Neurospora crassa OR74A: one gene and its partners. The protein of the gene in region 4 purifies or fractionates together with the protein of the main gene of each other region. This does not show direct contact. Links are inferred from orthologs where the notes say so. Each region holds a gene or a part of one and is shown on either strand. Other genes may lie near its edges.

Region 1 (3,503 bases), on a different chromosome or scaffold from region 4:
TTCCTGCGCTTTCCCGGGGCCATTAAAGCTAGGATCCCGAGACATGGGCAAATCGCTTCTTTATATCGCTTCGAGTAGCTCTTCGTTGGTACGGTATCAGCGTTTCGTTGACCGTTGAGTGGTGGCAAGTGGGCTTGAAGAGTACAGAAGTTACTCGTCGGTCTGGATAGAAAATACCTGCTTTTGATTCTTGGAGGCTGGGTTGACCCTGGAGTGATGAAGCTCGGAACTGCTCTCCTTCTAAAATCAAGATACAGAAGACAAGCTAGATGCTCTGAGCTGATGTAGAAGTCAATGTGTTGCCCTTGCGTTAGTTGCTTGCGGTGTTGCATGTCAAATCGACCAGCAAATTTCCATCGACTCAGGATGCAGGGTTCCATACAGCCATTTAGACCTTTGTAAGGTTAATCGCTTGCCAGCATAGTCTGCTCGAAACCCATGGGAGTCAACCTAGATCAAGCGCAGCAGCAACCAGAGAAGATATATCTATGTGTCTTATCGTATTAATCCATGTCTTCTAAACCATCAGGTGATACAATCAACCAAAACAAATGATCGGAGGGTATAATGTTCTACCGCAGATTGTGTGTGTATCTTAACCACTATACTACCTAAGTGAACCCCCGGACGAGATATTTTGCGCGGCCGTGAGTGTCGATCCTCTTTCAAAACACCAGACGCCAGTCCCAGATGCAAAATCAGATTTAACGCAATCCCGTTACAGTTGCCGCCCAAGAGACTAGACATATAATTAGACAAATCAAACCATCACCCTCTTCACTCTTGCGCTTAAACCAGGAGCACAGCGTTCAAGCATCCGTCGTTCTGGTGGAAGTTAAGTATTAGCAGTTCGTCCATGTAAAGTTAAGAGGCGGGGTTGTGCTGGTCATACCTCAGGGTTGTTGGTGATCTGCGCATAACGACCCCAGGCAATTTTGCCCGACGCGGTGACCATACCAAGATCGGAAACGTTGACCTCGATAATAGTACCCTTGGACAGAACACCAAGCTGGGTATAAAGGGGGTTGCTGGGGTTCTTCTTGACGCCGAGAATGGGGAGCTGAACCGTGACATTGAGGGTAGGGTGGGTGACGTTGGCCTTCTTGTAACGGAGACCCATGGGCCGGATGAAGCGTTCGTACTTGACTGGGCGTCTGGTGAAATCGGGTCCGACGAATGTTGGCTTGGTGACGACGCGCTTCCAGCCCTTCTTGTGCACCTTCTTGCCCGTCTTGACGACCTTGAAAAGCTCCTCTTCGCTGATACCCTTGACCTTGGGAATAGGGACCGAGAAACGAGCGGCCTTCTCGGCACGCTTGCTCTTGATCTGGGAACTGCACGAAGAAAACGGTCAGTCTCTCGTCATCGTATGGGACCCTTTCCAACCTCCATGACTACTGCCATCATTGCATTCACATTGGCCTCCACCTCCGCCGCGGCCGTTCGCTTCTCATGTGTCCTCCCATTCAAGTGACGTACCTCAAAGCCTTCGCACTCGTGGGGTTCGAACGGTCGAGCAGATAAGCGGGAACGGGGTTCGAAGGGTCCTTCTCCTCGGGGGCGCCCTTGACATTGCGCTCCTCGTGCTGCTTGATGGCCTTGCGCATCTGGATCTTCTGGGCATGACGCTCCTTGGCAAAGAGCTTGGCCCTCAGGCCACGCAAGTTCTGTGCATTCTCGCTCTGCTTGTGACCCTCACGGGCAGCCTTCTTGCGTGCGCGCTCCTCGGTGTCCAGACGCTTACCGTGAAGCTTCTGGGCGCGTTCTGCGAAACGAAATAATTGGTTAGGGACTGGAAACAGGTCGACGGTAATCAAGATCGAGTGCGAAGGGAACTATACCGATGTATTCGTTCTGAGGCTGTATTCAGGAAAACGTCGGTTAGCATGGTCTGCTCTCAAGTGATCGGAAGGGGTCATGATGTTGAGGAGAGTGGCTGTGGATTGGGAGGGCAATTCGAAGAAATGATATCCGTACCATATTGGTGTTTTAGGCCCTTTGAGGGTCTTGCGGTTCAAGATATGTGGCGACGCAATCTGGCCTTCAGATGTTGTAGGGCGACGAAGGGCGACGAGAATGACGATGCGGTTTAGGTCAATATGCTTCAGTACCTCTACCTATGCGAATGCCTGCTGAACGGACGTCTTGAAGCCGATAAAAAAACCATTCAAGGCTAGCTTTCCTTATCGGGCGGCTCCTCCAGTGGCGGAGACCCGTAAAGAGGTGGACATAGTGGGGCAGCTTCATCACCTGTCATTGGTTGATATCTACTTAACAGCATGTCCAGGAAAACGTGGAGTGGGTTCGGATGAAGGTGCCTGCCAGCTGCAGGGCATTGGAAGTGCACCGCGGCAGCCAGAGCCGCCCGTTGAGGACGAGAACCTTGATGGAAGGCCAGTGGACAACTTTTGTATAGATCCGGAGATCACCTTACCATTCGTAGAATGGCTCCTGCAACTAGGTTATTACCAAGGGACACTAGTTGTGTGGCTCGCATAACCCGCTTCAACGAGCACAGTAGGTATGTCAACAAAGGCAAAACCCAAAGACGTGGTATGCTTGGGGGTGTTAAGATATCTAGATATGCTACACCGTGTCATGACAACCTATACTATAATTCGTCCGACGGGCTCTATTGCCAGCCAACGCCCGCCAATGAAACCGGAATCCGTGCAAAATGACTAAACTCCAGACGCTGATGCAAAATGTTTCTGGGTGTCCGTCCTGTCTTCCAGCCAACGCCATTGCAAAACCGTCTCCAGAAAACGAATTCCTGCCTTGAAATTATCACGATGCGCCGAAACCTTCCCAATTTAGAGGCAAAAGAAAGAAGGAGACACGCCACGCAACCACGACATATCAGCGGTCTCCGGCTCTGGACTTGAGTTTTGCAAGTGCTGCCCGCTTTCTTTCCTCCTTCTCGCGCTTCAACCTCTTCTCCAGCGCCTCCTGCTCCATGTCTTCTCTGCGAGCCTGCAACTCTGCCCGGCGTTCCTCCGCGTCGATGTCGGACAATCCCGCCTCCATGTCTGAGTCATCCTCTTCCAGTGACTCGTAACCACCGCGACGACCATAGCCGTAGCCATCGTCCTCATCTTCGTCGTACTCGATGAAATCGTCCAACTCTTCATCCTCCTCCTCGCGTCTCCGGGGACGTGAGAATGAGGCGCCATAACCGGACAGCCCACGGCCCCTACTTGCGCCTGCCGAGGTGGATGCTCCTGGTTTTGTGGTGGTGGCCCCTGGGCGGGGACGTGCCGTGCCTTGGTATCCAGTCGTCGCTAAAGCAGCCTTCTTTACCTTCTTCTCCTCCACGGCATTTTGGCCTGTCTTGGACTTGGCGCCAGCCGGGGCTGAGGGGGTGATACTCCGCTGACGGTTCGCAGTCGTGCCGTTGGTACCATTGCGGGTTGGCCCAGCTGTCACACCGCTCCTCCCGGTAGTCGGTGGCCTTACATCCTTCTTGCCCTTTTTCGCTTCCTCGGCCTTTAATTCCTTGCGTT
Region 2 (4,209 bases), on a different chromosome or scaffold from region 4:
CCAAACCTCTCCTGCGCATAGCGTTGCGCTTAGCGCGCTCCATGTACTCCTTGTCCTCACCATCATCAAAACCGCCAAAGTCATCCTGGGCTTCGCACTCGGCACCAATGGGCGTCTTGTCGACAACTTCTTGGGCTTCCTGGGAAGCTTGGCCGTCCAGAGGCTTGTTGGACTTGTCGACGCCGTTGGCGCGGACAGCAGTGGCGGGCGTGGGGCCGAGTTTCTGGAACTTGGCGACGAAGAAACCGTCGACTGGAGGGTTGTGTTAGTGATGAAGGAGGGGAGGGAGGGAAAGGGGGTATAAGGAGGCGAAACGTACCGTTGTAAAGATGGGGGTAGTATCTGCGGGTGAGCTTGAGGCTGGGGTGGAATGATTTGCCCATGAAGCTGGTGAAGCCTTCCTTGCCGAAAGCCAAGCCAGTCTCGACGAGCTTGACGTTGGGACGGCGGCTGAGCGCATAGGCAACGACTTGCTCACTGTTTGTAATCTTGGGTTAGCGTCTTCTGAAAGTACAGTTAAGAACGATATGGAAAACGCACTTTTCCTCAACGGCAACGGAACACGTCGAATAGACAACGTAACCACCAGTCTTGCTGGCATGGTCAACCGAGTCGATGGCAGCCAGGAGAAGCTGCTTTTGGAGATGGGGGAGCTGCAGGAAGTCCTTCTCGTCTCTGTTGGTCTTAACAGAGGGATCCTTGGCAATGACACCAGTGCCCGAGCATGGGGCATCGAGCAAGACTCTGTCAAAGCCACCCATGACCCTGGGGAACTCACGCGCATCGTAGTTGCATACGATAACGTTTCTTGCGCCCAGTCTGTGAATGTTGCCGATCAAACCTTTGGCACGCTGCTTGCTGGGATCGTTCGCAAAGATCACACCGGTGTTCTTCATCAACGCCGCCATATGGGTGGTCTTGCCACCGGGGGCAGAGGCCATATCGAGAACACGCTCACCCTCCTGGGGGCAGAGAGCCATCACGGGCAGGAACGAAGACGCGGCCTGGAGGATGTAGTGACCAGCCAGATACTCAGGCGTGGCACCGAGGGGAACGCTTTATGCCCCAGTTGTTAGCCATTTGCATGAATCGCGTCGTTGTAGTCCTGATTTAGAATATACGTACTTCGAGTCAAAGACTTGCAGACCGACCTTGGACCACTTGCCTACAGGCTCGAGTGTGACACCGCGGTTGATGAGTGCTTGGGCAAGATCGCGGCGATGTGTTCGGAGGGTGTTTGTACGGATAACGACGGGGCGGGCACTCTCGTTGGCTTCGAAAAAGGCGAACGCCTCTCTGGGAGGGAACAGGTTGCTACAAACAGTCAGACAGTTTCCCCACTGGTGGTATCGCCGCAGACAGGCATGCGACAGGTTGTAAAACATACAAAAGCTTTTCAGCGAGGTACTCGTTGTAACCGTAGTCTGGCAAAACCTGAAGTTAACATTTGTGCATTTCACGAGAAGTATTGCGCAAGGAACATCGGGTCCTTACAGGCACAGATATCCTTGATGAGTTGGCTGGTGTACTCGGCGCGACTCTTGCCCTCTTCCGCCGAATTCGAAAAGTCGTCCAGGATACGGATGGCGTCTGTTATCCTCGTTCTCAACATCTGGAGATCGGGTGCCAGCAAAGTTTTGGTCTTAGTCTGAAGTTGGTCGTCGTCATCACCGAGGTCATCACCACCAGCGATGTTGGTCTGGAGCGCCTCGTCGCGCAATTCGGCCTCGTTCTCCTCTGCTTCCTTCTCTCTTTGCATATCCAATTTCCTCGAAAGACCCTCGATGTTGGCGGCTGTGAGCTTCTCCTCTCTATCCTCTTCGTCATCCTCATCGTCAGAGAAGACGAATGCCTCCTTCTTGGTAGCACCGTCCTGGTCGGAATCGTAAACCGAGTCGTCGTCAGTGCCGAGGAAATCGTCTCCTAGCTTTTGAACGTCCATCTCATCGCCGTCGATATCAAGGCCCTCCAGGTCGGACGCGCCAAACTCGTCGTCCATCTCCTCGTCATGATCGGGCGAAGGCTGCTTTGCCTTCTTAGGCTTCTTGGACTCCTTGGACCTGTGGGCGGGCTTTGTGCCAGTCTTCTTCACCTCCTTGACCTCTTTCTTGGCGCCCTTGACTGCGACAGTGTTGGAGCCGGATGTCTTGGGCTGCTTCTTGACAATCTTCTGCTTCTTGGATCTTCTAGTGTCGACTTCGGTCGTGGTTTCGTCAAAGGGAATGCCCTTCTTGCGCTTGAGGTTGGCGAAGTGCTCCTCCGAGAGGGGCTCAGGAGGGCCCTGTTTCTGCATGCGACGTCCGACACCCATTTTGATGGTATTGCTGGTCGTCTGGTGGTGATTGGGATGTTGTTGGGGTTGGTTTGAACACTGATAGCCCACCATCGACAGGCGCTTGTGGATATTTCTCCGGGTCGATTTTCTTTTCTGAAAAAGCTTATCGATAGCAATGCCAAGTCTCTTTCCTCAAATCGGGTTCCACCTCACTGCGGTCCCAAAAGGTGAGCCATTGGTCAGTGCCCCACATTAGTCAAGCTGGGCCAAGTTCGGAATCCCTGTAGCAACAGCTGACGCTACCCCTGGAGCTGGGCTGTTCTGGAGTAGGGAACAGCTGCCCCTGGAGCCCGGCATGAACGGCGCCCCCGGAGGCAGGCGGCCTGGAGGTATAAGGTACCTAGAGGTAGGAAATGGAAGGACCGTCTGACGGACCTCGCAGGAGAGGCGATCAATGCGGGCAAAGGAAAGTAGAAGGATGACGGGATGAGGGCGGGCAACCTGGACCGGGCGGACAGCTTGAAGCGAAGGGGGCAGGCAGGCCTCCCGGGCAGGCGCCTGCCGCCTGGTCTAGGCGCACCCGACGCAGGGGGAAGCACTGAATGGAGCCGGCGCCGGTGGGCGGTGGACGCCCCGGCCGCGAGGTCCCGTGTTAACACATCACTCAAAAGCAGGCAGGTAACCTGAGAGGTACTAGAGGTACCTTCCGTCTGCGCTGAACAGTTGCGGCATGTACAAACACACTGGACAGCTGGAGAGGCATCTCACCTCAGCACCTTCCATCTTTCCTGCTGTATCTTTCATCTCTCACGGTACTAACTTCCCGTAACAAACGACGTCTCCTCTTGCTGCTTTGCATCCTTCAACAACCGCGATTCTTCTCTATTCTTTCTGCTGGAGCATTGAAGTGAGGTGACATCGAGGTACCTGCTCGCCTTTACTTTACGTATCTGTAACTGAGCGGCAAATCGCGACTCACCTCTCACCCACAGTTTGGCGGCGGGTTTTACTGCGTACCTGCCTTCTGGACCTTGCGTTAATCCTTCCACCTCCAACCTCCTACCTACCTCTACCTACCTGATTCATCCGTCCTCTTTCCCCCTCCCCATTTCTCGGGAGCTCGGTCATTTTCCCCCCAAAGTACAACCAACCACCACCACCACCGCCTCCTTTCACGTCGCCGCCATTCCATTCAGTCCACGGAGCTTCACGAGCCTCCATTTCCCCAATCTTTCTACTTCCCAGCGGATTCACCTTCCAGCCGCTTTTGATAAGTTGGCTGCTAATCTTCGTCACTCTGCGCGCAGCTTAGCGCAACACCACCGCCCATCATGGCTCAGGCCCTACCCATCAAATTCCAGGAGCTGCTGCAACTCAGCGCCCTCGGCATCAACCAGACTGCCATCACTTTCAATACCTGTGTACGTTGTCCTCACCTTGCTCTGACTCTGCTAGTGACAGTTGTCGCGCCTCCTCTGGCACCCCTGCTGACGTGAACCCCCCGCTCCCAGACTCTAGAATCGGACAACTGGGTGTGTATTCGCGACAAGAAGGACGAGGCAGCGTCCCCTGAAGTCATCATCGTCGATCTCAAGAACGGCAATAATGTTATCCGACGTCCCATCAAGGCCGACAGTGCCATAATGCACTGGACGCGCCAAGTAATTGCCCTCAAGGCCCAGGCGCGCACACTCCAGATTTTCGACCTCGAAAACAAGGCCAAGCTCAAGTCGACAAACATGAGCGAGGATGTCTTGTTCTGGAAGTGGGTTAGCGAGACCACGCTTGGCTTGATCACAGATGGCTCTGTTTACCATTGGGATGTCTTCGACCCGAACCAGCCCGCTCCGGTCAAGGTCTTCGATCGTAATGCTAATCTCCAGGGCAACCAAATAATTAATTATCGGACCAGCGCCGACGGAAAGTGGATGGTT
Region 3 (4,200 bases), on a different chromosome or scaffold from region 4:
GAAATCAACATATTTCGGCGCGTCCCCAAACTTGTGGAATCAGATTAGACCTTCTGTGTGGGATCCCAAAGTCGGTGGAAAGATTGATTGGATGCGCAATCAGAACCTGACAATCCCTATCCTTCTTCTTCTTCTTTTCTTTCTTCATCTTCTTCTTCTTGTAGAGTGTCAGCCACAGGTTTGATGTTGTGGCTATGGTCAGAGGGTACTGGGCGAACAAACCTGTGATATACATGTTACTAGTTTATCAGAGAATCCAACTCCAGCGTTTAGTCGGTAGCCTTGTACTTGGCGCGGTATTCCTCCGTCTTCTCGACGTCCTCAGGGGAGGCAAGACCCCTCATGCCCTCAATGATGTCGTCCAGAGTAAGGATGGCAAAGATGGGAATGCCGTACTCCTTGCGGAGCTCGCCCATAGCACTGGGGCCGGGCTTGCTATCGTCACCATCAGCGGCAGGGAGCTTCTCCATGCGATCAAGAGCAACGACGATGCCAGCGACAATGCCGCCCTCCTTCTCGATCTTGGCGATAGCCTCACGCTTAGCAGTGCCAGCAGTGATGACATCGTCAACGATGAGGATCCTCTTGCCCTTCAGAGGGGCGCCAACAATGTTGCCTCCCTCGCCATGGTCCTTGGCCTCCTTGCGGTCGAAAGAGTAGCAGATCTTGCCGTAGGTCTCGGGGTCAAGCTGGGCAAGCTTGTCGGTGGCAGCAGTAGCGAGGGGAATGCCCTTGTAGGCGGGGCCGAAAACAATGTCAAAGTCCAATTGGCCGCTCTTGTGAGCCTCGATAATGCACTTGGCGTAGGCAGTGGAGATGGCCTGGAGAAGGTCGGCACGGTAGAAGTCGCCGGCGTTGAAGAAGTAGGGGGAAATGCGCTTGGACTTGAGCTCGAAGCTGCCGAACTTGAGGACGCCGCCGTCGATGGAGGCCTTGAGGAAGTCAGCCTTGTAAGGCGAGAGAGCGGCCATTGTGCTGGTACGTAGTGTTTGTAGGATTGGAATTGAAGCTGAAAGAAGAAGAAGAGATTTCAGAAGAACAGCGTTGACGTCTGTCTGCCTGGCAACTGAATAGCTGGAGGAACCTGGGGAAAATTGAGAAAATGGAGGGAGGGGCCGAAGGAAGGGTTCAGTTCCTGGCGGCGTCACACGCGGCAGTCTTTCAACCGAGTCAATCAGATGGTGGGTTACGAGTGGGCCACCTAGTTCCAGGAGCCAGGCCCGCGAAAGCCCGGTCATCGGCCACTTGGGCGCGGTGGGGTCCCTGAAAAAATGTGGGGTTAGAAAATCCTAAATTCCACACTAGCCGAATCCTTAAGCACCCCTTGGCAGCATGTCTTGGCAGCGCACACTACCTCTAGGTTCAATCCACTTTGGCACTCTGCTGTTATCTTATCGATTGGAGCAGCCGCTGGAAAAATATTTCGAAGTAGACTTTCCATTTGGCAGCGCAGCGCCTCCCCGTCGCCCTCCAACACCGCCCCCTCCCCCCGCAGCCGGTCTCTATCCTTCAGACCGTCCGTCCGACCTCATTGTCCTGCACTTCCAGTCCGAGATCTTCTCACCAGCAAGTGCTTGACATCTATACCCGAAATGACGTGGAAGGACATTGCCCCTGTGCCTACGTAAGGACATCTTGGTTGTTGTGTTGTTGTTTGGCATCGCTAACTCGCTTCTACAGGGCACAGGAATTCATCGACATCATCCTCTCGTAAGTCGACATCGGCAGCCCCCAACCACGACGATGCGAAGTCTTCGAGTTCGAGTCCAATGGCTTGGCCACGGTGGTGAAGGATATTAACTGTTCAACAGGAGGACACAGCGTCGCTTGCCGACTCAGAGTATGTTGTACAATGTGGAAAATTACGTGAAGCATGGCATGATCGCTAACCTTTACTTTGAATAGTTCGTGCTGGTTTCAAGAGTATGTCGTCTCGATATCCGATACTTTGTATGAGAATTCGAATAGATCATTGACACGCGACACCGAACAGTCAGCAGAATTAGAGCCTTCTACACCCGTAAGGTCAAGTTCACACAGGAAACATGCAGCGAAAAGTTCGGCGCCATCGTCTCGAGCTTCCCCATCCTCGCCGACCAGCATCCTTTCCACCGCGATTTGATGAACATTCTCTACGGTACGAATCCCGCGCTTCCCTGCGACAGGCGGTTTCAGCAACAGCGGGTTGTGAACCGCGCCTGGTCTTGTTGGGAATAGTGGCTGACAAGGTGATGGATAGATGCCGACCACTTCAAGGTTGCCCTTGGTCAGGTCTCGACCGCCAAGCACTTGATCGAGACCATCTCTCGTGATTACGTCCGTCTCCTCAAGTACTCGCAAAGTTTGTACCAGTGCAAGCAGTTGAAGAGAGCCGCCCTCGGTCGTATGGCCACCCTCATCAAGCGTCTGAAAGACCCTCTCGCCTACCTCGACCAGGTCCGCCAGCATTTGGCCAGATTGCCCGATATCAACCCTACCACCCGTACCCTCCTCGTTGCCGGCTTCCCCAACGTCGGCAAGTCTTCGTTCGTGCGCTCCGTCACCCGCGCTGATACCCCTGTCGAGCCCTATGCTTTCACCACCAAGAGCTTGTTCGTCGGCCACCTCGACTACAAGTACCTCCGTTACCAGGTCATCGATACCCCTGGTATTCTCGACCACCCTCTCGAAGAGATGAACACCATCGAAATGCAGTCAGTTACTGCCCTTGCCCATCTCAGAGCCGCCGTCATGTTCTTCATCGATATCTCGGAGCAGTGCGGTTACTCGCTCAAGGCCCAGTGCAACTTGTTTAGGTCCATCAAGCCCCTTTTCGAGAACAAGATGGTCTACGTTGTCCTGAACAAGATGGATATCAAGACCGTTGAGGACCTCGACCCCGAATCCCAGGCCGATCTCATGGACCTTACCAAGTCCGGCAACATTCAGCTTTTGCGCGCCTCTTGCGCTACTCAGGACGGTGTCCAGGAAGTCAAGAACACCGTTTGCGAGGCTCTCCTCGTTGAGCGTGTCAACCAGAAGTACAAGGCCGGTACCAGCAGCAACGGCACCATGGGCTCCCGTCTCACCGAGGTCATGTCCCGTATTCACGTCGCCCAGCCCGCCGATGGTGTTCTCCGCGAGACCTTCATTCCCGAGGCCGTCAAGGGTCTCAAGAAGTACGACAAGGCCGACCCCGAGAGGAAACTTCTCGCCAGGGATATCGAGGAGCAGAACGGTGGTGCTGGTGTCTTCAACGTCGATCTCAGGGAGAACTGGATCTTGGCCAACCCCGAGTGGAAGTACGACAAGATTCCCGAGGTCAGTATCTCTCGCATTCCGTCTCCCCCAAATTAAACCCGGTTACTAACATGTCACGCTTTGACGAACAGATTGTCGACGGCAAGAACGTCTACGACTTCATCGACCCCGATATCGAGGCCAAGCTGGCCGCTCTCGAAGAGGAAGAGGAGCGTCTCGAGAAGGAGGGCTTCTACAAGTCGGACTCGGACCTCGGCGACGAGTCGGAGGAGGAGATCCTGCAAAAGGCCGAGTACATCCGCGAGAAGCACAAGCTGATCCGCAACGAGGCCAAGATGAAGAAGTCGCTCAAGAACCGCGCCATAATCCCCCGGAAAATGCAGAAGAAGTCGTTCGCCCAGCTCGAGGACCACATCGACCAGCTCGGCGTCGACACCGAGGAGATCAACCTGCGCGGCCGTGCCCAGGTGCGCGAGCCCACTCGCGGCCGCTCGCTGGCCCGCAGCCGCAACGCCACCGAGGACCCCGACGCCATGGAGGTGGACACGCCCAAGAGCGCCGCCGAGCGTCTTCGCTCTCAGAGCCGTCCGGCCCAGCGTGGCCAGGGCGCGACAAACAGGCGCGACGACGGTGTTACTGGTGGTGTGGGCATGGACGGGGAGACAGCCCGCTCCAAGGCCGAGAGGGTGGCCAAGCTCGGCCAGCGCAAGATGAACAGGATGGCCAGAGCCGGCGAGGCCGACAGGCATATTGGTGCTACCATGCCCAAGCATTTGGTACGTCTTTTTTCTTTTCTTTTCCCCTTCCTTCAATCCCCCTTTTCTCTTTTCTCTTTTCATTCCTAAACTAACCACACATGTTTTCTATAGTTCTCCGGCAAGCGTACCGTCGGCAAGACACAGCGTCGTTAATTTGGATCGATGATCCATATATGTTTGGGTTGGGTTGGGTTGGGTGTGT
Region 4 (3,482 bases):
GCTGGCCGATGCCTTTTCCATGCCCAGCAAACAATCGGCCAAACGGTCCAGGCCACCGGCATGGGGACCTTGTTGTTGACATGGTTCTGCGCCTCCAATCTCTGTTCAACTTCAACTTTAATCTGAACCCCACCCCGCCGGTTCTGTAGTGTATGTACACTACCAGTATACCTTTAGACTATGTAAAAGCTTTTCGTTTTCGCGGCGAATGACTCACGCAACACAAGTGAGGATCCGGCAGTCGAATTGGGGCGGCTTATGGTAAAAAGGGATAGGCAAAATTGCGGTTGCCGCGTGGCTGGGCTCACACGGCGTGCAACCCACCGACCGATCAAAAAGACCTCTCGCCGTCAAGATTGGGGGGACTTTAGTTCTCTGGCAGCTTCCAAACTCTTCTCAGTCTTAAATCCGAGAGGAAACGACCGATTGGCGCACCAAGTGCGAGCTTGTTTATCTATTGTCTTACCTTATCGGCCAAACCAAGACACTTTTCATTAGCTGCGTGCCGTTCAAGTCGGTACGTACCTATGTTGTTTTAACCCGTTCCCCGGATTTGCACTAAGCCCTACACTTGGCTTGACATCACACTGCGACAAATCATCATGTCCATCGGTGGCCGGTTGCGTTCCCGACAGCATCTCATCTTCTCACGCAATGAATTCAGGTGCCCTTGGCAGCATCACTTGACATCAAAGGAGGGGCTCGTCTTCTTTTCGTCTTGACATTCGTGTACTGTCCAAGGGCGTGTCGTTTGATGGCAACCACCGGGTGTCTTGTCTTCAACGGCCTGACCGTCGTTGTGAAGCCGCGGGACGAAACGCCAATACCGGTTGCTCCAGATTAGCTCACACATTCTCCCGTATATCCGTCAGACAAACGGGAGGGAGTCATCATTCGTGAAACCTGAGGAAGTGAGCCCATGGCGAAGGTTAACCGAACACGCGCTGTTTTCACACTGTCCAATTTGCCGGGATAAGTGAGCTGAATCCACGGAACTTGTTTGAATGCTTTCGATATGGTAATTCCCAGGTCAACCTCTTCAGGAAGGGCTTTGGTGTCCAAGCAACAGGCGCAAATGACTGCAGGCGAGCTACATAGGCCCGAGGACAACAGAGGATGAGTCTTGTGAGTTGTCGACTATCGAGGTGCGCGTTTCCATTAGACCTATGATTGTTTGTTGGAGACATGGAAAAGGAAAGCAACATAAGTGCAATTCATGTCTATCGTGATTATCGATAGAAGAAGTCAAGCAAATGTCAAAAGTTGGGAGGGAAACGATCAAAAACGAATCTCCAAACAACGTCGATACACCAGGGGAAACACAACAACAGGGATGCTGGCTGCACAGTTCAAGGTGGGGTAGGCTGGCCGCAGTCCATTTGGGTGGGGCCTGCCAAAATCAATTGTGGGGGAAAGCCTATCAATGGCTCACCGCCCAAAAGTTTCGCGCGGCAGAAAAAAAACAAAAGTCAGCGATAGGCGACTGCACCACAGCACCGCCGGCACGGCAGAGGCTCCCGTCCCGTCTGTCTGCGTATCAATTGGTGATTCTGATCCTTCCATTCCACTTCCACTCTTGATTCATTTGGGTAGTTGTCATAACCAAAACCAATCTACACCACCAACAACCATCTTTTCTTTGCCACCATAGTTCTGTCTCTGTATCGGCATTGTTATTGTGCGCTTCATCTCTTGTAATCTTTACATCCATAACCACCCACACATACCGTCAAGATGCCCAAGTCCAAGAGAGCGAAGGTGTACAACCTCACCCAGGTCACCAAGAAGAACCGCGAACAAAAGGAGAAGCTCTTTGAGAACATCCGAGAATGCATCCCCAACTACCAGCACTGCTTCGTCTTCAGCATCGATAACATGCGCAACAACTACCTGAAGGATGTCAGAAAGGAGCTGAACGACTGCCGGTATGTTTGTTATTGTCCACCTTCTTCCTACTCAGTAGCCGAATCCAATCGCAATCGCAATCATTGACTAACACTTCTTCTTCCCGTGCTACAGCATCTTCTTCGGCAAGACCAAGCTCACCGCCCGCGCTCTCGGCACCACCCCCGAGGACGCCCAAGCCGACGGGCTCGACAAGCTCTCCAAGTACCTGTCCGGCTCCGTCGGCCTCATCTTCACCAACCGCGACCCCTCGGAAATCAAGGACTACTTCGTCAACCTGACACAAGTCGACTTTGCGCGCGCCGGCTCCGTCGCCACGCGAACCATCACCATCCCCTCCGGTCCCTTGTACTCCACCGGTGGCGAGGTCCCCGCCGAGCACGACGTGCCCGTCTCCCACACGCTCGAGCCCGAGCTCCGCCGCCTGGGCATGCCCACCCGCATGGTCAAGGGCAAGGTCTGCCTGGGTGACGAGGCCGGCGAGGGTGACGATTACGTTATCTGCAAGGAGGGCGAGACGCTGGATTCCAGGCAGACGAGGCTGCTGAAGCTGTTCAGCATCTGCTTGAGTGAGTTCCGTGTCAAGCTGCTGGCCTACTGGAGCGCGGCGAGCGGGGAGGTTACCGAGTTGGAGAAGCCTGGTGAGGCTGGTGCTGAGGAGATGGAGGAGGATGACGAGTAAGGGATGTGTTCATGAATGATACCCTGAAAAGAGGGACGGTGTGTATGTGGTTGCACTTGACGAAGCGGTTGGAAAGGTTCATGATATCAAGAAATCTGCCGTACGAGAAGGGGAACTCCCTTCAACTTACAATAACGCAACATCGAGGGACCCAACAAGAGGGTGTGGGGAGGGGACCGGTCAAAATTTTTGCAAACGTCATTATTTCTCGTTTTTTTACTACTTGGCTTGTTTCCGTGTTTTTACATAGGGAAAGGTTTACGATGATACCATCTTTGTATGGAACTTCTTCTTTTGGGGAACATAAAACAACCGGTCATCTTAGTTTATGTATTACCAGGCGTCTTAAGAGATAGGAGGGGGCAAAGGCTCACGAATAGAAAAAGGCTTCAAAGACAATGTCCTGTATGTGATGCTGACTTCTTGTGATGTTCATCGTTGTGGCACGGCTGGTATAACGAATGATCAAGTCCGCCAAACCATTACCAAAGAGAAGGACAAAGTTGTGTCTATACAACAAAACTCGAATGTGCGCAGTATTTACTTGCAATATCACGGAACCACCAAGCCCTATGACAATTTTCCTCAAACGTCAAAAATAAGAATTGAAAGAGTAGAATAACCCAACCACAGAGTGCTCGAAGAGCTAGCAGAGATGTAAGAAGGCAATACAATTTTCGAACCTGACATGCATCATCATCATCATCTCCGCATTCCACTACACAAACTTACCAATTCTAGAATAGTTTTTCAAGGCCCTTTCCATGTTGACATCGGACACCAAGTTTCTTCCTCTTCTTCTTCTTCTTCTCGCTCAAAAGCGAAATGAAACCAGGTCAAATTCATTCAGTCTTTAGGATATGCAAAAGGCTGATGTATAACCCCCCATCTCCCA
Region 5 (4,011 bases), on a different chromosome or scaffold from region 4:
CATAGGACCAGTGGCAGCTCCCGTCCGGGCCTTCGAAGGATGCTTCAGAAAAAAGAAAAAAAAAGGCTTGCAGTGTGCGTGGTTCTTGCTACCTCTGGTCTGTTGCTTCGGGAAAGTGAATCATATGCCGTCTTCGAAAGTTACATATTCGTAACTCTGAACATCAACGGCTGGTTCACTAGCTCCAAACGTCATGATTAAACAACGTCTCTCTAGGTTGCCATGAATGCATATCACTATCCTTGTCTATATCGTGGCACCTATGTAACGCCCTGCATGATGCGCGCAATGAGAACCATTCCATCAAATGCTCGCATCTATCAAACCTCAAATGGATACCCCCGGACATCGCTTAACATGACCACGTCTCTGTCTATCTATGGTGCTTTCCATTTTCCAAATCTTTCGAGCGTCTTGTTGGTCTTGGTGTGTGGTCGCGCGGTTTGGTAACATTGAACTGGCGGCGGGAGATTTTACCGATTTGCCAGGCCCATTCCATCGCCTCTTTCGCTCTTGCCCAGCGATTCGGAAAGTTTGGCAGAGGCGCAGTCGGTAAGCACTTAACAGCCACACAACATCACCACCCTGCGAGTCGAGGTGATGTGTGCAGCCGTGTTGCGTATTGACTCAGCAAGGCCTCTTTGGTGAGCCGATACTAGTAGCTAGGCTGACGTCAAGGAAACTTGGCTCGCGAAGATTGCCGTGAAAGTTGTTTCTGGCAGATACCTGGGCATGTAGTATCCCAAGCCGGCTCGTTCGTGCGAACGGCAAACTGCTGCAAACACCACGGAAGCAGGCCAGAAGTCATATCACCCCGCTGAGGCCTCCGCGAGTGAAGTAGAGCGGGGGCTCTCGGGTTCCGACTGCTGGCTGTAGGAGAGTAAGGTTCGTTCTTGCCCTCTTCTTTAGTTTCTCCATGTCCTCACGGCCTTATCCTTTCCGCCTGATCCTACCATCTTGCCATCCGGCGACCAGTCCACAGCGTATACCTGGAAGCGAGTTAGAATTTTCCAGCAGTGGGAACACCGATGTCGCCGTGATTTGGTTCACATACCTCGTCTTCGTGTCCGGGAAGGTCCATGGCGAGAGTGCCAGTGCGCACATTCCATGCCTTGAGGGTAGTATCTTTGCTAGCCGTAATCAGAAGCCTGCTATCGGCGGACCAGGAGCATTGGTAGACCTGAAGTATCAACGCGTTAGAACTTTCCCCTCGTGGTAAGAGATGAATGTGGGTAAGGAACTCACGGGTGCAACATGACCCCTCAAGCTCTTGAGGAACTTGCCATCCCTGGCATTCCAGAGCTTCACGCTGTTATCCCAACCAACCGAGGCGATCAAAGTGCCATCGGGAGAGAATTGGACCTGGTTCACCTTGTTCTGGTGTCCCAAAAGTCTAGCAACGGGCTTGGTACCGTTGTTGGTGGGGTCCCACAGGTACATGGTAAAGTCGTCACTGGCAGATACGATGCGCTCAGCAACCTTGCCATTGATCTTGGCCGCTCTCTCGAAACGCTCCTTGGCCTTCTCCCTCCTGCCCTCCTCGGTGGAAGGGACGTCCTTGGTGTGGTCAAAGTAGGCGGTCCTCAGGGCGTGGTCGCTGGACAAACCAATATGGTTGATCCAGTGGGCGTGAGATGTCAAGCTGTGTACCAAGGTGCCCTTGACGGCGTCGAATACCCGGACAACCTTATCGTGCGAACCCGTGTAGATGAGGTCGGTTCCACCCCATCGCACGCAGGCGACGGAGCTCCTGTGACCGCTCAGGACGTGCTCGGTACGGCCTGTGTTGACAACCCAAATCCTACAGGTACCATCCTTGCTAGCACTGGCAATCCTAGGGGTGCCGTCTCTCCACAAGTGGTACGGCTGCCACGCCGTCATCAACACCCATTTGGCGTGGCCCTTGAAAGGCTGACCAACGGGCTTGCCGGCCTCGGGATCCCATATCCTCACTGTGCCATCCATGCTGCAGGTCGCTAGTTGCTCTCCATCGGGTCTCCAGCTGACGCCGAGGACCCAGCCGGTGTGCCCTTTCAATGTGTGCTTCGGGGTACCTGTATTTGTATCCCAAATACGAGCTGTGTTGTCGCCGCTGCCGGTAGCAAGGCGTCCGGATGAAATAGGCGAGAACTGGGCTGCGAGGATGGGTTGGCCGTGACCGGGAATGCGATGGGCAAGGCGCGAAACTGCTTGTACCCTGAAAACAGCCTGGGGCTCGGCACTAAGAGTAATTGTGGTTCTATGCGGAGGTTAGCGAAGCAGTTACGTGCTGGGCTTCCTGTGTCCGGGTCTTGCATACTCGAAGGGGTTCTCGACACCATGCTGCTTGAGAAGGCCGAGGAGGTCGGAAGGGTACTGGTCGACAATGATATCCTTGCCGGGAATATGGATGCGGAATCGGTATGGGGTGAACTCTTCGCGGTCCCTCTCGAGCAGGGTGTTGAGCAAGACGGAGATGTTCTTTTCGGTGGCATCGGCAAAGTTGATTTCGATGACATCGGTCATCTGGTTGCCATCGCTGTCGACGAAGTTGGCCTTGAAGGAGCCGAGCTCAGGCGCCAGTATCGGGGCGACATCGAGCTGTGTTGTGGTGCGCTCAATCTCCTCTCTCTTTTGGCGCTTCGACGGGGGTGGTAGTACTGTCGCCATCTTGGATTATGTTGTGCCAGAAGTTGTCGCTGAAAGTGTGTTGCGATACTCGCCCGACTTCCAGGAAGTGTTGATGGATTGGGGGCCTTCTGGGTTTGCACTGGACTTGCTGCCCCTGCAAAGGCTGGACCCAGCAGAATGCGGACAGTCCAAAATTTTGGCGGTGATGGCGTGCAAAACTGGCTTGGCATGTCCAGTTCCAATGGAGCTCTGACCCACACTTGCTTTCCCCATGTCTCCACAGGGGCATCACGAAGCTGGGCCAGGGCTGTTTACGATTTAGCGCTGTTAGTGCGTCTGCATCCAAACCTTCCACTTGAACCATCGGGCATCATCCCATGTCATCATCATCCCATCTCCAAACATTCCAACACTCCGAGTCAACTCCCACTTGTCGTCACCACTGCTTCCCAACAGCTGTTATACTGTATACCCTACGTGATCTCCCATCTATGTATGAACCCAGCATGAGCATCGCCCGGCTGTTCTTGACTCCTCCGGAGGGGATTCATGTTCCGACATGACGCCTTTTTGTTTCTCTATACTACTACACAAGGCACAAAAATTCATTTCTCTCCCTTTGTCTAGGTGACCCAGACCCTCAAATATCGCCCACGTCCAGAGGAATCGCTATACCCTGGATTCCCTTCACCAGGATACTCGTCAACTATCTCTACTTATTGACCAAACTTCTCATTCCCCTCGCTTCTCATTGACCGGCAGTCCCGATATTCCAGGCTGCCCGGGTTTTCGCTTTCCCAATGCCACTTGCAAAGTATTGCGGCTGCTGCTGGTCCCAAGTCGGGTACGGTCACGGCTGGCACTGGCTCTGGTACTAGCTTTGATACTGCATCTGATGCGGCCTCTGCTACGACAATTACTGATATGGCTGTTGGCAAAAGCCTAAACCTCCTTAGTCAAGACAAACTACTCCTTCGGTCTGGGCCTCAACCATAACCGTTCATCTGTCATCCGAACCTAGGTAGCCTACACACTCCGACCTCCCATCCTAAATTCTGTCTTCACCCTTACCCAACAGAGCTAGCCAACCTTGGATTTGGCAAGTAAAACGCTGCCACGGCGATAATGAGGTAGGCAGATGCCAAAAGTGCTCCCTCGAGGTAGTTACTCCTCCCATCTCTAACGAGAAAATTCACAATGAAGGTGCTAACGAACATGCAGACAGTCTCGAAGAGGGTAAAGTAGAGAGACATGTCTCGATCCATGATCCAGCCCAAGATAACCACTACCGGCGTCACAAACAGCGCAATCTGGATACTGCTGCCCAGTGCCACGCCCAGTGCCAAGTCCATCTTGTTCTTGAGTGCCACGCTCACAGATGTGATGTGTTCAGCTGCATTG
Region 6 (4,146 bases), on a different chromosome or scaffold from region 4:
CACGCTCAACCCGCCAACATATGACGACAAATGCAGCCAAAAGACGGCCAAGAAGAATGAACGGAACGAGTCGAACATCTCGACAAAGAAGTACCACCACAGGCCGATATTGGGGGCCAGGTCAGACAGTGTAAGTTGCACACCATAGGTGGAACTAAGGAACTCCCATGAGCCGGTCAGGAAGAACGACATTTGGAAAAGCACTGCCAGAGCACCAAACGCATCCATAACCATGGTCGCGGTAAACTTGATCCACGCATTGGGCGCTCCGGTAGCGGGCAACTTCTGCCTGTCATAGCAAAGAAGAATGAGAGGCGGGAGGAGGAGTAGCGGATACATGGAGAGGTATGATGCGAAGGCTAGGGCGACCATGGCGTGAAAGGGTCTGCCGGAGATGGCATTGGCGACGGCGTGGAGAATGGCACAGGTCGTGAAGACGGTGGTCGAACGCCCAATGCATGTCGCGATGGTGAAGGGGTTGAACAGGAAGAGCGCGGCAATGATGGCACCACTCCAACGCTTGTCACGGCGCGGGGAGGTGAAGCGCGCAGACGAGCTGGCCTCGCCAGACTCTGCAATCCTTAAAAGAGCATGGGCGCTCAGAATATCGATAGCGATGTAGAGAAGGTACGTGAAGATGGGAAACGCCGCGAAGCTCGGGAGCAAGTTGAAGATGGGCAGCAAGAGGGGCGCCTGGTGGTAGACGCCGCCATCGTAAGGAGAGACGTTATGGTTATACAGGAAGAGGCCTTCTTGGACTAGATTTTGGTAGTTAGCAAACCTGTGTTCCTCGAGACGATGCGACGAATGCCGAAGAGAAAAACAAAAGCTACAACATACGGCGCTTGAAGCTTGTTACTGGCGTTGAGATCTCGACACGGCCAGTCAGGAGGTCTGGAAGACCGGGGAACAGAGTAAAGAGGGCAAGTCGCAGGACGGCAGCACCGGCGTATAAGCCAGCCGTCCTCCTCAACGTTACCTTGCCGCCATTCATTGTTCAATTCGCCATACGACGAGGTGGGAGCTGTGATGTCGAACTTGTCCCAGGGTCAAGTTACTTCTAACGACATGCCCGTCCAGTTGCGCTATACAGGAGTCGCGCCCAGCACGTTAGGTCGCCTTGTCAATCGCTGTCCCCGCCAAAGCAGACCGACAGCTGGCCCGGCCTCCACAGCTGGCGGGTCCCTGTGGGACAAGGGGTTCTGGAATCCAATCCAGACGGGAGCGGGAACCTATCTGGGCCAGACGGGCCCAGTATGTATTCTAGTAGCCTCATCTGTGCCTATCTGATGCCTCCCGTCTTTCCATCCGCTACGTTATCTTATCTTTGATCAGCTCAGGCGGTGGGAAGTGGCATAAAAAGTTCAGGACCGCGAGGGTCAGAAAAAAAGTTGATTGCAAGTGCACAGAGCGCCCCCACCTACAATTGGCTTCGATAACGATCGAGTCTGCAGACTGAAGAGATCCATCCTTGGTCCTCTTCTCCTTCTCTCACTCTTCCACCTACACCCAACAACCACAACCACCACCACCACACCCCAAAATGCCAAAAATCAAGAAGAAGGGCCAGGCCGGCGCGGCCAAGAACTACATCACCCGCACACAGGCTGTGAAGAAGCTGCAGCTTAGCCTTCCCGACTTCCGCAAGCTTTGCATCTGGAAGGGTATCTACCCGCGCGAGCCTCGTAACAAGAAGAAGGTTTCCAAGTCGGCCACTGCCTCGACCACCTTCTACTACACCAAGGACATTCAGTACCTCCTCCACGAGCCCCTTCTTCAAAAGTTCCGTGACCAGAAGGTGCTCGAGAAGAAGATCTCCCGTGCTCTTGGCAGAGGTGATGTTTCGGATGCCGCCCGCTTCGAGCGCCATGCTGCCCGCCCCGAGGCCACTGGCAAGCCCAGGTACACTCTCAACCACGTCATCCGTGAGCGCTACCCGACTTTCAACGACGCGCTCCGCGATCTCGATGACTGCTTGTCCATGCTCTTCCTCTTCGCCAACCTCCCTTCCACGAGCGCGGTTCCCGCCAAGATGATCGCCCGCTGCGAGCGTCTCTGCCTCGAATTCCAACACTACCTTATTGTTTCCCACAGCCTGCGCAAGTCGTTCCTGTCGATCAAGGGTATCTACTACCAGGCCAACATCCAGGGCGAGGATATTCTCTGGCTCGTTCCCTACAAGTTCAACCAGAGGATCGTCGGCGATGTCGATTTCCGCATTATGGGCACTTTCGTCGAGTTCTACATGACTCTTCTTGGATTCGTCAACTACCGACTTTACAGCTCGATCGGCCTCAAGTATCCTCCCAAGTTCGACCAGCTCAAGGACGAGAACGGTGCTGAGCTCGGCGCTTTCTCTCTGGAGGGTGTCAACATGGCCACCCAGGGCGAGACCAAGGCCGTCACAAACGGGGAGGAACAACAGCAGGGTCCTGACCCCAAGGTCCAGGCTGAGGTTGACAAGATTATCAAGCAACTGAAGGAGGACGAGTCCAAGAGCGACGAGACTGCCGAGGAAGATGCCGAGGCCGACGATGAGGAGAAGCCCACAGACTCCATCGACAAGTTCGAGCCAGTTGCCCCTGGTGGTGATGTTCTTCCTCAGCCGGCGTACAGCAGCAGTGACCCTTCGCAGCTGTTCGCCAACTTCACATTCTACCTCTCCCGTGAGACCCCCCGCCAGCCTCTCGAGTTCATTCTTCGTGCCTTTGGCTGCAAGAGGATAGGCTGGGATTCCGTCCTCGGCGAGGGTGCCTTCACAAATGACGAGTCGGATCCCTCCATCACCCATCACATCATTGACAGGCCAGTCGTACAAGCCGCTACCAACGAGGATGGCGATGGCGAGGACAATCAGACGGCCCAGAAGGTCGGACCCAACCAGAGATACCCCGGCAGGATATATGTCCAGCCCCAATGGGTATGGGACTGCGTCAACGACGAGGAACTCAAGAGCCCTGAGCTCTATGCTCCTGGCGCCGCTCTCCCTCCCCATCTTAGCCCCTTCGTCAAGGCCGCCCCTGGCCAGTACGATCCTACTCTGCCCCTTGAGGCTCAGCAAACCGAGGCCGAGGCTATTGAAGCCGACCTCGAGGATGCCGAGAAGGGTAATGCTGAGGATGGTTCCGATGTCGAAAACGACATGGATGTTGATGAGGCCGAGGACGATGAAGAAGAGGAGGAGGGTGACGAGGAGGATGCCGAGGAGGCCGAGGAGGAGGATGCTGAGGAAGATGAGGAGGAGTCCAAGACCCTCCAGCGTCAGCTTGAGCTAGAAGCCGAGCTCCAAGGCAAGAAGGTGCAGAATACAAAGGTAGACTCCAAGACCAAAGCCAAGCTAGAACAGCGCAAGGCTCTTGAAAAGAAGGCACGCGAGGAGGCGGAGGACCTGGAGCGCGCCAAGGGCATGCTGAGCAAGAAGAAGCGCAAGCTGTTTGAGCAGATGCAGTATACCAACAACAAGAAGAGCGCTCAGGACGAGAAGCTCCGCGCCAAGAGGAGAAAGCTGGAGAAGGAAAAGGCGCAGAAGGCGTAAGGTTAAAACACTGGCAAGGCGTAATTTTTTAGCACTTTATGTTTTGAAATGGGATACCAAAGGCTCATTTTTCTCTTTTCTTTTTGTGTAATCGACAAGTTTTGAATCCTACTCGTCGTCCTGAACTGATGCAAATGTGAATAATCGTGACATGAAAACGAGCGCCCACGAGGCTTTCGTCTGAGGGTTAGGGGTCGCTACGAACCAAACCGTAACGCCCAAGAGAAGTTGGAACGAACCGAAAATAGGACCAACGAAAGGTGAGAGTACAAAGTAAAAGAATTGAGTGAGGAGTCAGAGGTTCATCAGTTTCTCCATCCTTGTTGCTGTGGTACTACTACTGGGATGCTTTCGTACGTCAGTGCGGTTCTTCGACCTTCAATCTCTTGTCACTCCCGTCCTTAGTGATTGATCACCAGAATTTGCACTCAACAACCCTGCCAACGCGGGAAGAGCACCCACTAAACTGGGCCATGCAATGTCTTCACACTTGAATCAAGAAGATTCCGGCGACGAGGATTGGGATAAGGACACTGAAGAGATTAATTCCATCGCATCAGATGAACTGCACGAAACCCGCCCCAATCGGTGGAATGGGGCCCCCTCCACAT
Region 7 (3,515 bases), on a different chromosome or scaffold from region 4:
GAATGCCGCGCGATCAATGGAACTCGGAGAAAAATATATAAAAGTTACAAATGGGGAAGGGGAGGGGGAGGCAAAAAAACAGAATTTGTCCAGTTTGTCCAATTAGATATGAATTCATACCTTAGCTCTACTCATCTTGAGAATCCCGTCATCGATAAGAAAAACACACATCAACCTTGAATTGTTTGTTGAAAGGCCGGGACAAGTTGGCTAGAAGGTCTCGGACTAACAAACAACGAACAAACCTGTATCGAGTTATAGTGTACATGTAGCGCACAGTAGCAACCTACCATGAATCGTGAGGGGTCAATGACTCGTGAGATTTGTAAAGTTGATCTTCATCCCCAAGCAAATGACATTGCTTGGCGGTGGAAGTGAGAGAGTATGGATGACTTTACATGAATCGTGTTTCACGAGAATTTGCCGTCGGTCAGCACCGGTTTTGGAGATTTTGGAAAGGTAATCAATCACAAGAAAAGATGGACAGCGTCGAGTCTCAAATGGGAAAAGGAAGATCAAATTACGATTGAGGTATCACATGAACGAACGCCGAGTAATGCTCTTTTGCTCAAGACAGAAGAAAGTTGATTGGCTTTTAGATGAACCCTTTTGAGAGACCATGTCATCCCCATGACCCAGATGATTTCGCACCCATGCGCATCGAATGAACAGAACCTGTTTCCTCCCAAAAGGTTGTTCAACCCCTAGCAAAGTCCATAACAACTTCCAATTTACTCCGAGCGGAGAGCGGCAATGCGCTCCTGGACACCAGCAGCGCGCTGCTCGCGGGTGAGCTTGGACTTCTTGTACTTGAGGGACTCGGCCTTCCACTCCTCCTTGGTCTTCTTGGGAGCCTCGGACTCGGCCTTCTTGAAGGGGTCCTCGCGGATGGCGGCGTGGGCCTCGGCGTAGAGGTCCTCAAGGCCATCAGCCTCAAGATCGTCCTCAATGTAGCGGTTGAACTGGGACTTGTAGCGCTCCTCATCGTCGTCGGCGAGGGTCTCCATGTACTCAGCGACGTGACCGCCGAAGATGTACTTCTTGAGGGTCTCGGCATCGAGCTCCTCGGACTCCATGTCGTAACCGGGGAAACGGTTCTCGGAGTGGGGGATGAAGATACCGCCGTCGGAGGCACCCTTCATGGCACCGAAGACACGGGCACCGGTGGAGGTGCGAGCAAGACCGACATCAAGGAAGGCCTTGAAGGGGCGGCGCTCGCCATCGTCGGTCTCGGCGGCCTCGGTGAGCTTGTACTCACCGTCAGCCTCCTCAACACCCTTGAAGGTCTCGTCGAGGCCGAGCTTCTTGAGGACACGGCGGGCGAGGAGGAGACCGGTGGCGTAGGCAGCAGCCCAGTTGGTGAGACCGTGCTCAATGCCGTAGGCCTTGAGCTCGTGGGAGTAGGCGGAGGCAAAGACCTTGTCGCCGGTGATCTCGGAGCTCACAATCTGGAGGATGATGTCGCGGTTGGTGAAGCGGACAACCAGGCGGTACTTGGGAGCATTGTACTTGTTCTTGGCCTGGGTGATGAGGCGCTTGCGGGCATAGTAGTCGGTCTTGCCCTCTCTTCTGCGCTTGTACTTGGTCTGGAAGCGACTGTTGGGCGGATTGAATGTTAGCGAACCCCGAGCTCCTATCGATTTTTCTCGGATTTTCAAAAAGAGAACATCTGCTTACCTGTAGTACGCGCTGTTCTTGACAAGCTTGTGGAAGGCCTGACAATCAAAATCCCCGAGTCAGCAATTATCGCTTCAGAATATTTCCTCCTCTCCGAAGCATCTTGCGTTGACTCTCTTTCTCCTCAATTTCCCCCAAGTTTCCCTCTGGGAATGGTGTGTGATTTGAACGCAGCCGCTGGTCGCTCATTGCTGAACGGCCGCGACGCACGCCGTAGGTCGTCAACTTACCATTTTGACTACTTTTGCTGGGTGCACTCAACAAACGGTCTTGAGACGGGCTGGGTTGTCAGAAGGGAAATTTCGAGATCGCGAACAAACTTTGGTGGGCAGGAATTTCGCACTACAATCCCCACAACCCTAAGAACAAGAGCGCGCCTGATTGGTCGGCTGACCGCTGGGTTGTCAACTCAGGTTGGCGACGACCGATTCACTCACCCATGCTTTGCCGTGGCGCCACGGTGGGCGACGACCTAGCGCCAAGAATTTCACGCAAGCGGCAGGCAATTGTGGGCTCTGCCAATGGCATTGTAAGTAGTCTCGGGCTTCAGTAGCCGTCGACCTCTGGCAATCACTGTCCCGAACCGAGGTCTAGTATAGTGTACCATTCACTTCACTAATCGCTTCCTGGTGCCAATGTGCGGAGGTCCAATGTTGTTGATAGATGAATCCAAACATCCTTATACCCCCAAAGTCCCATGACATTATAGTGTGATGCTTCCTGAAGAGTTTCCCCCTGAATACATTCTTGAAGCCATCGACAACATGGCGCCAACCATCCTCAAAGGGAAAAGGTCCTCCGGGTCCCCCAAGCCCAAAGTCATCCTCTTTGACATTGGCGGCGTCTGTGTAAGTCAACATGACCACATCACCACTTCACTTATATACACAAATACATCTACCCCTCACAAAACAACACCAACATAACTAAATAACTAACACAAACCCAGGTCATCTCCCCCTTCCAGTCCATCCTCAACTACGAACTCCGTCACTCCATCCCCCCAGGCTGGATCAACCACTCCATCTCGCGCTCCGCCCCTTCAGGCTTCTGGCACCGTCTCGAAACCGGTTCCATTCCCATGGACGCTGCCTTCTTCGCCGGCTTCAACCGGGACCTGCACAACCAATCCCTCTGGGAATCCTTCTACCGGTCTCACCACCACCACCACCAACAAGCCAAAAAGCACCACCACCATCACCGCTCCTCATCATCATCATCATCATCATCATCATCATCATCATCATCATCATCATCTTCTTCATCTTCTTCATCTTCTTCTTCTTCTGGTTCTTCTTCTGGCTCTGATGAACTACTATCGATCCCGCCCATCCCCCAAATCGACGGCGAGTGGCTATTCCACGACATGATGGAGCACGCTCGAGCTCCAGACCCCTGGATGTTTCCCGCCCTCCAAAAACTCAAGGAAGACGGACGGTTCGTCGTCGCGGCACTGAGTAATACGGTGATCTGGCCGGAGGGGCACAAGTGGGCGGAGAAGGGGGACTTCTTCAGCGATCCGTTGCGACAGCTATTTGATGTTTTCATTTCGTCGGCGCATGTGGGGTTAAGAAAGCCGGATCCGAGGATCTATCAGTTGGCGCTTGAAAAGGTAGATCAGTTTGCGAGGGCAAATGCTGACTCCGAAAGGGGGAAGAGGGGCGGTTGGGCAGAAGGGGTGAGGCCGGAGGATGTTGTGTTTCTGGATGACATTGGGGAGAATCTGAAGGCGGCGAGGAAGGCTGGGTTTAGGACTATCAAGGTTGGGTTGGGAAAGGCGTTTGAGGCGGTTGATGAGCTGGAGAACGTGACGGGGTTGAAGCTGGCTGGGGATCACC

What was found.
Region 1: the proteins of NCU07547 (region 4) and NCU00981 purify together in Saccharomyces cerevisiae (affinity purification with mass spectrometry; 6 studies listed by BioGRID, with this or other methods). This does not show direct contact. The link is inferred for Neurospora crassa OR74A from reciprocal best matches to the Saccharomyces cerevisiae genes MRT4 and NSA2.
Region 2: the proteins of NCU07547 (region 4) and NCU02511 purify together in Saccharomyces cerevisiae (affinity purification with mass spectrometry; 6 studies listed by BioGRID, with this or other methods). This does not show direct contact. The link is inferred for Neurospora crassa OR74A from reciprocal best matches to the Saccharomyces cerevisiae genes MRT4 and NOP2.
Region 3: the proteins of NCU07547 (region 4) and NCU05289 purify together in Saccharomyces cerevisiae (affinity purification with mass spectrometry; 6 studies listed by BioGRID, with this or other methods). This does not show direct contact. The link is inferred for Neurospora crassa OR74A from reciprocal best matches to the Saccharomyces cerevisiae genes MRT4 and NOG1.
Region 5: the proteins of NCU07547 (region 4) and NCU00794 purify together in Saccharomyces cerevisiae (affinity purification with western blotting; 5 studies listed by BioGRID, with this or other methods). This does not show direct contact. The link is inferred for Neurospora crassa OR74A from reciprocal best matches to the Saccharomyces cerevisiae genes MRT4 and RSA4.
Region 6: the proteins of NCU07547 (region 4) and NCU00925 purify together in Saccharomyces cerevisiae (affinity purification with western blotting; 10 studies listed by BioGRID, with this or other methods). This does not show direct contact. The link is inferred for Neurospora crassa OR74A from reciprocal best matches to the Saccharomyces cerevisiae genes MRT4 and NOP7.
Region 7: the proteins of NCU07547 (region 4) and crp-4 purify together in Saccharomyces cerevisiae (affinity purification with western blotting; 3 studies listed by BioGRID, with this or other methods). This does not show direct contact. The link is inferred for Neurospora crassa OR74A from reciprocal best matches to the Saccharomyces cerevisiae genes MRT4 and RPL5.

The regions. Positions count from the first base shown.
Region 1 is NC_026501.1:6,508,714-6,512,216, forward strand, and holds NCU00981 (ribosome biogenesis protein NSA2), read right to left. Parts: upstream 2,165-3,503; 5' UTR 1,981-2,164; coding exon 1,978-1,980; intron 1,861-1,977; coding exon 1,842-1,860; intron 1,766-1,841; coding exon 1,480-1,765; intron 1,335-1,479; coding exon 893-1,334; intron 826-892; coding exon 790-825; 3' UTR 501-789; downstream 1-500. Other genes in the region: NCU00980 (hypothetical protein), read right to left, coding at 2,860-3,503. UniProt on the Saccharomyces cerevisiae protein: Involved in the biogenesis of the 60S ribosomal subunit. May play a part in the quality control of pre-60S particles. Under normal, rapid growth conditions, high levels of NSA2 would allow the progression of pre-60S particles through the ITS2 processing.
Region 2 is NC_026501.1:2,564,276-2,568,484, reverse strand, and holds the start of NCU02511 (S-adenosylmethionine-dependent methyltransferase superfamily domain-containing protein), read right to left. Parts: upstream 2,801-4,209; 5' UTR 2,387-2,800; coding exon 1,495-2,386; intron 1,425-1,494; coding exon 1,388-1,424; intron 1,315-1,387; coding exon 1,126-1,314; intron 1,057-1,125; coding exon 541-1,056; intron 478-540; coding exon 320-477; intron 253-319; coding exon 1-252. Other genes in the region: NCU02510 (clathrin heavy chain), read left to right, coding at 3,607-3,696, 3,787-4,209. UniProt on the Saccharomyces cerevisiae protein: S-adenosyl-L-methionine-dependent methyltransferase that specifically methylates the C(5) position of cytosine 2870 (m5C2870) in 25S rRNA. Required for 60S ribosomal subunit synthesis and processing.
Region 3 is NC_026504.1:5,445,455-5,449,654, forward strand, and holds the start of NCU05289 (nucleolar GTP-binding protein 1), read left to right. Parts: upstream 1-1,400; 5' UTR 1,401-1,592; coding exon 1,593-1,624; intron 1,625-1,680; coding exon 1,681-1,710; intron 1,711-1,811; coding exon 1,812-1,840; intron 1,841-1,905; coding exon 1,906-1,923; intron 1,924-1,993; coding exon 1,994-2,137; intron 2,138-2,239; coding exon 2,240-3,300; intron 3,301-3,371; coding exon 3,372-4,016; intron 4,017-4,109; coding exon 4,110-4,151; 3' UTR 4,152-4,200. Other genes in the region: NCU05290 (orotate phosphoribosyltransferase), read right to left, coding at 270-971. UniProt on the Saccharomyces cerevisiae protein: Involved in the biogenesis of the 60S ribosomal subunit.
Region 4 is NC_026503.1:4,412,045-4,415,526, reverse strand, and holds NCU07547 (mRNA turnover protein MRT4), read left to right. Parts: upstream 1-1,499; 5' UTR 1,500-1,734; coding exon 1,735-1,925; intron 1,926-2,019; coding exon 2,020-2,587; 3' UTR 2,588-2,982; downstream 2,983-3,482. UniProt on the Saccharomyces cerevisiae protein: Component of the ribosome assembly machinery. Nuclear paralog of the ribosomal protein P0, it binds pre-60S subunits at an early stage of assembly in the nucleolus, and is replaced by P0 in cytoplasmic pre-60S subunits and mature 80S ribosomes.
Region 5 is NC_026501.1:7,142,010-7,146,020, reverse strand, and holds NCU00794 (ribosome biogenesis protein Rsa4), read right to left. Parts: upstream 2,801-4,011; 5' UTR 2,650-2,800; coding exon 2,300-2,649; intron 2,240-2,299; coding exon 1,246-2,239; intron 1,181-1,245; coding exon 1,055-1,180; intron 990-1,054; coding exon 906-989; 3' UTR 203-905; downstream 1-202. Other genes in the region: NCU00795 (membrane bound cation transporter), read right to left, coding at 3,678-4,011. UniProt on the Saccharomyces cerevisiae protein: Involved in ribosome biogenesis. Required for processing and efficient intra-nuclear transport of pre-60S ribosomal subunits.
Region 6 is NC_026501.1:6,705,681-6,709,826, reverse strand, and holds NCU00925 (pescadillo), read left to right. Parts: upstream 1-1,415; 5' UTR 1,416-1,543; coding exon 1,544-3,535; 3' UTR 3,536-3,646; downstream 3,647-4,146. Other genes in the region: gpit-2 (glycosylphosphatidylinositol transamidase 2), read right to left, coding at 1-758, 841-994; NCU00926 (hypothetical protein), read left to right, coding at 4,014-4,146. UniProt on the Saccharomyces cerevisiae protein: Component of the NOP7 complex, which is required for maturation of the 25S and 5.8S ribosomal RNAs and formation of the 60S ribosome.
Region 7 is NC_026505.1:5,646,510-5,650,024, forward strand, and holds crp-4 (60S ribosomal protein L5), read right to left. Parts: upstream 2,086-3,515; 5' UTR 1,911-2,085; coding exon 1,908-1,910; intron 1,716-1,907; coding exon 1,678-1,715; intron 1,597-1,677; coding exon 732-1,596; 3' UTR 501-731; downstream 1-500. Other genes in the region: NCU04332 (epoxide hydrolase), read left to right, coding at 2,391-2,525, 2,627-3,515. UniProt on the Saccharomyces cerevisiae protein: Component of the ribosome, a large ribonucleoprotein complex responsible for the synthesis of proteins in the cell.